Linked DNA regions of Daphnia pulex. The protein of the gene in region 2 binds, or shares a complex with, the protein of the main gene of each other region. Links are inferred from orthologs where the notes say so. Each region holds a gene or a part of one and is shown on either strand. Other genes may lie near its edges.

Region 1 (3,836 bases), on a different chromosome or scaffold from region 2:
GCAGGAGCCTTGGCTATTCTGACGTCAGTCAGTAAACGGGCTTCACGGAAAGTTTTCGAGGTTTGCCTCCATTCTTTTTAACTTTTTCCCTGGAATTGATTTTAACTTTTTTTTTCTCTTGTTAAATTTGTCAATAGGCGACAGAGTGGAAAGAAATCCTTTGCTTCCTACTGAGCAATACGGACAAAGACGTGCAATATCGAGGAGCTGTTATCGTCAAAAACATCGCCAGTCATTCGAAAGAGTTGGCCGAAAAGTTGTTGCAACCTGAGGTTATTATGGTCCTGGAAGTTCTCACCAAATTCGGTAAAGAGGATTAAGTTAAAACTTTTGACATGGTGCCTTGAACTAATCTTTTTTGTAACCCATTTGAATCCGCTCTGCACACAGAAACACCTGAAATGGCCAAAATTTGCGACTGCGCCAAATCAACCCTGGAAATCGCCGAGCAATGGAAACTGATCGAGAAGGAGGACGACTCTGAAGATGAGTCTTGATAAATTTTAATGAAATGATTTAAACAAAAATTAAATTGTGTGCCTATGCAAATTCACTCGTTAAAGTTAAATACACTTTATACGTCAATTGAAAGCATTATTTAAAAAAGAAGGAATTACAAAATAATGTATTCTTACACGTGAATGGTAGGGGGAAAAAATAAAGATGATCTTATCCTCAATCGCTGTCATCATCTGAATCCGTATCGTTGGCCACGACTCCTTCGTCTGCGTAGTGAATGTGCTCAATCTCCGTAACGGGCTCCTCCACATCTGCTGTTGCTCCCGTAGGTTTACCAGTAGTGCTGCCAGACGGCTGCATAATCAATTCCAAGTTGTTGAGCTCCTCGTCGCTGTCTGCTTCCTTGTAAGTTTTGCCTTCTTCCTCCAACTTGAGCCGCTCGATGAGGCTCTTTGCCGGGTTAAAGACACCAAAAGTTTGTTTGCCGCAAACAAAACACCGCTGCGATTTGCGGTAATGTTTCAAGGCGCAGGCCTCGCAGAAATAATGCTTACACCTGCCGTGTCAAAATTTGCGTTAAATTCTCCTTCTTATAAATGAATAGGAGAGAGTCTTTATTACTTGGAGACAACGGGATGTTGGAACGACTCGCGACAGATGAAACACTTGAAGGGCAAATCTTCGTCGTCCGAGTGTATTTCATACTTTGAGTCGTCTTCGGCCGGCTCACCTTTTCCCCTTTCTTCTCGCTCCAACTGCCATCCGAATTTATAATCGGAACGGTCGTGCAAGAACTTACAACTGTCTAATAAAACACAGCAAAGCTTTATAAAAGTTCAACTGAATGATGATAATAACCCCAAAAACTTTTGGTTAGATTTTGAATACCTCCGAAACCGCAGAAACCCGTTTCCTTGTAATCTTTACAAAGATCTGGTTGGTAATCCCATCTCACTGTTGACCTGATGTTGGCTGGGGCTCGCATGGGGCCTTTTCTCACATTGGCAGATGCAGCATTTCCTTGGGCTGTATCTCTTTTCTCGTAGTACTGGGCATAGTTAGCAAGGCCACGATATTTCTTGTCATCTGCTTTGCCTTTCAGCTCCTGCTGGACTGTCAAAGAAACAAAACATTATTTTGGTTCATTTTAAATAAAAAAGTTGACCTACTTTGTAAAGATTTCTCAAAAATTGTCCTGGCATCTTGATCGACGGCAGTGTCGATCTGAACTGTGGAAGTGGCAAGATCGTCTTTCTTGTTCTCAGCACTTCTGTCAGACTGGAAGACGACTGTGACCTTTTCCTTGACTTCCTCATCAGAGCTGTTTTGGATTTCTTGACGGGACTTTTTCGTGGATTTGAACTGTCAACCCCAAAAGAAAAAAACACGATGAGAAACACAAATTCTTTTTGCAGAGACTTTCAATAACTCACAGTTTTAGCCGAAAGAAGTCCAGCCGATTCCTTTTTCCCCACTCGAGCAACAACAGTTTCATCTTCGCTGCTGCTTTTCTTGTCATCATCAGCTTTTCTCCTCATGGCGGCTCCTCCTCCTCTTCGTTTCTTGAATGTAAACGTGCAAACTTTATTGTCGTCGGCCATTTTTGTTTGTTTGTGGATTTTCTTGTTGGATCAAGCTTTCCTTTTTTGTATATAAAAATGTATTTTGACTTGTCAACAAACGAGAACAATAAAATAAAAATCCTTCCGTCTTCTCGTCGTCGGCTTTTCAAAAGGATTACCGGTGCACTGTTGTCTGATTCCTCTAATTGGGTTCTTGATGACTGATTGAATACGCAGCAAGGGATCTGCTGCAGATTTACATATATATGCACAGCAACAGAGACTAGTACATAGAGAACTATGCACACACACACACACAAAAGCTTTTATTATTGTGATCCAGATTTGTCATCTACGATGTCGGTATTAATGATCCGACCCCGAAAACCCGCTTGAGACTTTGAATATATCTTAACGTCATCCGTTTCTACTACTACTACTACGGGTTTTGCTATTTTGCATTTGTTTTGGAAAAATAAAATCGACATATCTTATTGCTTTACATCATTATTATTAGGCATCGTCGTCATTTCTTATGGTCTTCTTCTAATCATTTCCATATGCCTTGGTGATTTATTTTCCTTGTGCAAATGAAATGGATGGGGGGAAGAATCACGTTACTTAAAAATCTCTGGCGACTCGATTACACACAGGCAGTACAAAAAGGAGCATCCTTTCATTAATTAGTAGGTTCCCCTCTAATAATCTGGTGGCGTGTATATATGTATAGATGTGCTCGGCGCATCACAGAGTCTGAGGACCTTCTTCTTTCTTCTCCTCGAAATAATAATACGCACTATATACGCTTCTGCTGGCGATCAATTAGAAAAGACTGCCGAAGCTTTTAAGAACCTTTTCGCCACATATGACTGAATAATAATTCTATTTTCTTAATTCCCCTACCCAATTTTTATTAATTTTTTTTTTCTGGGTGGGGCGGCGGCCACTGAACTGTTATCTCCTCTTCGTTCGTCTACTTTTTTCTTTTTGCTGGTTTTTGGGGGCTTGTTCTCCGCGGGCCTCTTTCGTCTTTGCCCGATGTCGCGCTTATTATTTCTATATCATCAGCAGACTGCTAGCTGCTGGGGGCCGTTCGCTTGATGATTCCCTTACAGCGCCTTAATTAGCCCAGCACTTTTCATCAAGTTGAAATAATAAGGAACGCGCAGGCCAGAAAACCCGGCCGCAAAAGTGCACGAAGCGCTTCACCGTCCGATGAAAAGCTACTTGATCTCCATCCTCCGACTCCATTTATACACCTATACTGCACTACAATATCTATACCTATTCATTTAAAACAAAAAATATTTTTATTTCGCCGTACCGTATAAGTAATTTTTCGGTCAAACTTGTCGCTGACTGAAAAGCCCATCTAGCCAAACTTTGACTTCCTCCTCCAGCAGGATTGGCACATTGACTTATTGCAGCACAGTTTTGCAGATATACCGTTTCGTTCTATGCAAAGAGGGGAGGAGGCTATAAATAGGGACTCAATGATAGATACATGTTATGCATAAAGCGAGGGCCTATTTATACAGAAGCTGAATGATCCAGACAAGATATATAATATCCACATGCTACACTACTATACACGTATAAAAGGGGCTTTTGAGAGAAGGGCCAGCACGGCAGCAGGATCAATCCTTTACACAGCACACACAAGTTACGCGCGCGTTCTAATGGGGCTGCTGCCCTTTTATGAAGACTTTTCGCTCTATGTTCTCTATATGCAGTTTCAGCGTATATATCATCTATATATTAAAGAGTTTAGATACAGTTGTTGCTGGGCTTTTAACCGACTTTTAATGGCCTTCA
Region 2 (3,116 bases):
GCTAGTTTCATTTTGTATCTTGGCGGGAAAACGAGGAAAATGCAAATTTTGCATTTCATTCTATGTATGAATAATAGAAAATTAGGAGCAGATATCGCCGAAAGCCTCTTAAACGCAAATACCTCTTAAACTGAAGTTACAAAAGCAAATAAAACTTGTAGCCACGACTGTTCTTAAACATGTCAAGTTTTCCTTAAATTTGCGACATTCTTAATTTAAATTAAAGTTTAATGGTTTAGTCACAAAAAATTGAATAGTTTTAGTCTAAATTTAATAGAAAAGTAATTTAACTTTCATTTCCATCAAACTTTCATTACTTATTACACCGCTCTTTACACTTGTTTTTTCCCCGACTCCTCTGACAAAATGGCAAGAATAGTCAATATTCTTGAAATAAGCAAGGAAACGTTATGCGATGTCCGCTTATAAATCAAGAAAAGGAATTGACGGTTCTCTACAAATTATCTATGCTTACATGGGAGTCAATTGGAATTGATAAATAATTCTCATACAGACTCAACTGTGGGGAAAAAAGTGTTTGTTTTAAGGACTTTTCAACTGACCAAAAAACATATAAGACAATGACAATTTGTAATGCAAATGAAAACTGATTCCACATTTGCTGAAAAGAACGAAAAAAAAAATGGAAAATCGTTGGAAATTACAAATTTCAGCGTCGAGGACCAGTAGCACCACGTCCACGTCCTCGTCCACGTCCTCCTCTGACAGCTCCGCGTCCACGGCCTCTTCCACGAGCTAAAAAAAGAAAAGAAAATGAAAAGAGGAACACAGTGATAAGGGGAAAAAAGTTTACCTCTACCGCTAGCATCCTTCTTCTTGGCCTTGGCTTTCGGAGAATCATCCAATAGTAAGGTTTCAAGAGGAAGTGAATCAGGTAAAATGTAGTACCGGATGTTGTTTCCTCTAATACTCAAAGTTTCAAGCTGAACAGGGTCTCTGTTTTTAACTGTCATTTTCACAGCTTTTAAATGAGTGTTCATAGCAACATCAACTCCTATAAAACATAATCAAATGAATGAATTTAGTAATATACAAAACGGAAAACTTTTCTTCTAAAATGTCACTTATGTGTTTGCAATTTCACTAAGTTTTCGAAGAAAGTATTTAAGGATTGCAGTAAAATAAAAAATCGAATAAAGACAACAAAATTGAATTACCTGTTATTGTTCCATGAACCTGAGTACCATTTTTTAATTCAATAATGACTGTTTCGTGGCTCAGTTTCATCAAAAACCTAAGGATTATACAAAATAATGGTATTTATTTCAATTGAAAGCAGTGAACTATTTAAGTTGTGAAATATAGAAACGGCATAGTTTCCCAGACGCATCCAACAACCGGCTTAATACCCAGACCAAACCGATTTTTGTGGCTACTTTCTGTACGAATTTACTTGACAATGAACATATTCCGAAACTTACCTCACTAATTTCATTTTTGATAAACTTGTTGTTTGATGGCTGTAATAAAGTAAATCACCATATACGACTTATTGAATGTTTTAATCCTTAGTTTAGTGAAACGCACGAGGTACGCTAGTCAAAAACCAAAACTGCTTGTTGGAAGCATAACTTATACTAAAAAGGCCCTGTGACATTTCATATTTCATAACGGTCGATGACTATGATTTTTGTACTTGTAACGTAGCGCCATCTACGCAAATATTTTGAATTTTGTTATTAGACAAGGTTTATTTTTGCATATTTTAATCAAAAATTAACTAATAATAATTTTTTTTTATTATTTTAAATTTATTTATCAAAATAAATTCATAAATCCAGAAGCATTATCGAAGCGTATCATAGAACCGCATAGAACACAAGTGGCATGACATGAGTGACAATAAAACGTACTCCAAAACAGAAAACACATGAGACAGGCCTGCATACTATAACAGCATTTCCAGTAAGCTAAACATTGGGTTTCGGTTTCACCTATTTTCGATTTTTTAAAAATAATTCTTTGTCGGTAACGCATTCTCAATTTCCCGCGTGGTTTTAATTTTTCCCTCTCAAAATGTCTCGAATCGGACCAACATTACCTCCTCATCTTCAAACAGCGTATGAAAATGATGATTCAGATTCTGATGAAGGTGATCTCTACGGACCAGCACTTCCCGCTCATTTAAAATCACAGAAAGTGTCCAGCAAGTTAGTGCAATCAAATATCTCCAATGACAGAGGATGCTCTGTTAATCATGAAGTTGACTCTTCATCAGATGATGAAGTTATTGGACCACTGCCAGCTGATTGTATGGATGCTGAACATAGTTCATCAGTTGACATTGAACAGCGGGCTCTTAAGATGAAGAGGAAGTTGCTTGGTGTGGATGATGATGAAGCCAACAAGCAACCAAAAAGAGAAGATTGGATGATTGAGCTTCCAGAACTGAAAAGGAAAAACTTTGGCCTGGGACCTCGTGTCTTTAATCGTTCTGACAAACCTGAGGTTGTAGGGAGAGATCAATGGACTTCAACACCAACTTCCAAGGTTCAGATAGTACAATAGATACACATATAATGAAATTTTCTTAGCTGGTCATTGCTAATTTCTATAATTTAATTAATATAATTTTAGCAGCCTAGTACATCCAAAGAAAAAGATGAGGATTTTGAAGCTGAAATGAGGAAACAATACTTGGAACAAAAAAGGAATAAGAAGCTTGAGAAAATTGTGGCCATGCATGATAAATCCAAGAAGAGGTCAGAGAGTTTGTTGAAGACACATCAAAAGGAAATGAAAAGCAAGGTAATCCTACATTTTTATTTTTGCTGTTAAAGTTGGGGTAATTTGAAGTAAGATTTTTGTTTCTATAGAAAGACAACTCGTCCGGTCCTAAAGAAAGAAAACCTTTTGATCGTGATGAAGATTTAAAACTGAATCAACTCGATAATGCAAAGCGGAAATCCTTAATTAAGAAGTCCCAAGAATTAAATTCAAAGTTCAAAATTGGGAATCAAAAGTACCTTTAAATAAAGTGTAATTTCATAGCTTCAAACCTTGGTTCAAAATATGGTTCAGGTGATAACGTTTTTCCAAATTTTGACTATAAGTTGAAATTTGTTGATATCATGGTGAGCTGCAGCTCTAATTAT
Region 3 (3,065 bases), on a different chromosome or scaffold from region 2:
AATACTTTCTTACTATGTTTTATTCCATAGAATTCGTCGATAAGACCCTCATAGGTCAACTGAGTGACAACAGGAGTTATCAAATATACAGTCCTATCAATGATCATAAGAGTGTCGAACAACGGAGATATGGGGGGATCACAGTCTACCCCAATATCACTCGCATTCGAGTCATCAATTCGAATACGTTACGGGCATGGCGCCCCTTACCCACAACGTTGGGGAAAATGCCATATAAACTTTGGAGGGACATTAACCCATGAGCAATTTGGTGTAAGGAGCTGATTTCATTGTCAACATATAAATCCTGAGAATAAATTTGAAGAAATTGATGACAAGCAATCCCTTTCAAAGTTTGGCTCATAAATAAATACCTTGAAAACATTATCGAGTTCCATTGAAATGACATCACTATCTAGTGGGAAAAAATCAACAGGCAGTTCATCAATAGAAGTAAGAGTTCCATACACTCCTTTGTCCTAAATGAAGTAATAATTTTGTCAACAATTTCTTCTTCGCTGATTTAAGTAACTTTAACCAACCTTGAGCCGCTGTTCACATACTGCACTTCATCGGGAGATAAAAATTAACTGATATTCCTTACTAGCAGAATGTCCTTGGCTTTCTTCGCTGAAATGTAAATTAACTTATTGTTGACTATTTAAAGTTAAAATATGTAGATTATTCATACCTGTGCAAGTTATCGGCAATACAATCCATCAGCTCAACTTCAGGTCTTGTGATGAACAGTATATTTTTAACAGATATGGAAGGCAAGCACCCAGGTTTTAACTGGAACATTTTTACAACATCTAGTTCCTTAAGAAAACTGTATTCTGCCACCAAACCAATGGGGCCAGTGAGTTGTTCATCCCAAAATATTGCCTAGCATAATTGATGAATTTACGTACATTTCTTAAATGGAATAGCACACACCAATATACCTTTGTTCCACTGAACTTCTCTAAAAGAGGAACAATATCCTGTAACAATAACAAAACTGTTGACGAAATTTATTTTTACTGAACAAGACATCAACAGACTGTCAACAGACAACCTAATGGTTTTTGTGGTTGTCCTAAGTCACAAAAAGCTAATGACTAAATCCGCATAAAATGAAATAAAATTTAGTATTACCAAATGAATCGAAACTTACCTATCCGCTGAGATAAATTACTGTAAGTTTACACAAAAAGTTTGAAGAAAATCGATGCAGTAGTTTAGATTTCTATAAATTTATTCTGATTCTGAATTAAAGGTTCTGGAAGCCTGGCCCAGAACACCGTACACTCCCCCCACATCCCTCCCCCTCCTACACACCCAGACACCCGCATTTACTTTAATGCCTTCTGGTAGTACAAGTACTACCCTCAGGGATAATGTTTACTACTCGTAAACAACTTTATCGAAAATCGGGTAAAAAGGGAGTAGATCGCTTCGAATTCCTTCAAGAGTTGGTTAATGAATTCTATCAATCGAATTCTCTTGGTATGTTTCATCTTTAAAAACAAATTTTAAAAAATTACTACTAAATAATTTGTTTCAATTATTTTAGAAAGCCAAGAACAAGTTTTAGCTAATTTGGCCAATTTTGCGTATGATCCCTTGAACTATGATTATATCAGAGAACTCAAAATAATTGAATTGTTCTTAAACGGACTGCAAAGCAGAAATCCATTCTTTGTTGAATACTGTTTGAAGGGTATTTGTAATTTGTCCAATGATCCCCTGAACCAAGATATAATATTCAAACACAATGGACTCAATCATATTAAAGAATTTGTAAAGTCTGAAAACCCTGATTTAGTGAAACACGGACTTACTACTTTGATTTTTCTACTTTCATCAGCAATTCCATCAGGTAGTAAGATCTAATAAAAGTAACACCATTTTATGATTTTAATTTCTCATCTATGTTTATCAACAGATGTTGCCACTTCCGACTTGATTGCCCAGATTCAACTGTTAAAACATAGTGAAAATCAAAACATAAAGAACTTGGCTACCATTTTCTTAGAAGAGTCATCTGGCATCAGTTCAGGCTAACTTGAAAGGAAATGTTCATCAAGAGAATAAAGTGTATACTCCAGAAGAGCACCAACATGAAGATGAATCTTGCTGAAGGGATAAACAAAAGATTTCTTCAATCATTCATTCAGAAAGGCTCCACAGTAGTAGAACTTAAAAAAGTAACTTATGCAGATGTGGAAAGTTTTTCCAAGTTGACAGGTGACTTAAATTCAGTTCATTTTGGTGGGGAAGCTATAGTTCATGGGGTTTTGCTTAATGGCTTTGTCAGTGCTGTTCTTGGCACCCAGTTACCTGGGCCTGGTTATGTTGTTTATGAACAATCAATGACTTTTCCAAATCCCTGTCGAGTTGGTGATGATGTAGAAATTCTAGTAGAAGTCGTAGAAGCCAGAAAAATTGTTGTCTGTAAATACGTGTGCACAAGTATTAATCAGCAATGTGTTGTTCATCAAGGTACCGCTAAATTATTGAAATTTAAAGGATTAAAATAAAACCTACATCCATGTAGCCTATGCGTTTATTTCTCGGCGCGTCTCTTCAGCTGATCTACGTTTAACTTCAAGCAGGAAGAGGACTGTTAGTCCGTTCCAAGAACTCCCTAGACAGTTTTTCAAAGTGTAATGGGTGAATGTAAATACATAACTAATAAATTATAGGGATTAAATTAAAATTTACCAGAAATTTTCTGCCGCATTAGCTCCATGCTCTTCTCGATTTGCTGATTCTGTTTGCGTATTCTTACAAAACAAAAAATGCTTTGTCATTTGCATTTTGCCTTTGATTTCTATTCGGATGGCACGATTCAAGAGACCGTATAACAGTGGATTAATGCTGATTGATGCATACATAAGCCACGTCACCGTTATAGAGCCATTGTTTGTAACGTACCCAGGAACTGCGTCACACAGAAAATCTTCGTGATGAACAATGGGGATCACGTTCAATACCCAATAGGGCGACCACAGTACAATGTAGGAACCGATTGTAAGCACTAACGTCTTGATTGCTTTATTACGTTTCTTATTAGAGACCAT

What was found.
Region 1: small nuclear ribonucleoprotein Sm D1-like (region 2) and E3 ubiquitin-protein ligase RNF113A-like share a complex: the UniProt entries of both Homo sapiens proteins name them as parts of the minor spliceosome. The link is inferred for Daphnia pulex from reciprocal best matches to the Homo sapiens genes SNRPD1 and RNF113A.
Region 3: small nuclear ribonucleoprotein Sm D1-like (region 2) and armadillo repeat-containing protein 7-like share a complex: the UniProt entries of both Homo sapiens proteins name them as parts of the minor spliceosome. The link is inferred for Daphnia pulex from reciprocal best matches to the Homo sapiens genes SNRPD1 and ARMC7.

What each region holds. Positions count from the first base shown.
Region 1 is NC_060022.1:4,929,424-4,933,259, forward strand, and holds E3 ubiquitin-protein ligase RNF113A-like, read right to left. Parts: upstream 2,285-3,836; 5' UTR 2,061-2,284; coding exon 1,893-2,060; intron 1,822-1,892; coding exon 1,629-1,821; intron 1,573-1,628; coding exon 1,348-1,572; intron 1,265-1,347; coding exon 1,081-1,264; intron 1,016-1,080; coding exon 676-1,015; 3' UTR 528-675; downstream 1-527. Other genes in the region: protein unc-45 homolog B-like, read left to right, coding at 1-60, 138-306, 391-497. UniProt on the Homo sapiens protein: Required for pre-mRNA splicing as component of the spliceosome. As a component of the minor spliceosome, involved in the splicing of U12-type introns in pre-mRNAs. E3 ubiquitin-protein ligase that catalyzes the transfer of ubiquitin onto target proteins.
Region 2 is NC_060020.1:8,496,538-8,499,653, forward strand, and holds small nuclear ribonucleoprotein Sm D1-like, read right to left. Parts: upstream 1,606-3,116; 5' UTR 1,457-1,605; coding exon 1,443-1,456; intron 1,256-1,442; coding exon 1,179-1,255; intron 1,016-1,178; coding exon 815-1,015; intron 757-814; coding exon 671-756; 3' UTR 575-670; downstream 1-574. Other genes in the region: GPALPP motifs-containing protein 1-like, read left to right, coding at 2,038-2,511, 2,599-2,769, 2,838-2,993. UniProt on the Homo sapiens protein: Plays a role in pre-mRNA splicing as a core component of the spliceosomal U1, U2, U4 and U5 small nuclear ribonucleoproteins (snRNPs), the building blocks of the spliceosome.
Region 3 is NC_060018.1:4,531,550-4,534,614, forward strand, and holds armadillo repeat-containing protein 7-like, read left to right. Parts: upstream 1-1,281; 5' UTR 1,282-1,379; coding exon 1,380-1,488; intron 1,489-1,555; coding exon 1,556-1,861; intron 1,862-1,927; coding exon 1,928-2,046; 3' UTR 2,047-2,538; downstream 2,539-3,065. Other genes in the region: probable G-protein coupled receptor, read right to left, coding at 2,590-2,629, 2,707-3,065. UniProt on the Homo sapiens protein: As a component of the minor spliceosome, involved in the splicing of U12-type introns in pre-mRNAs.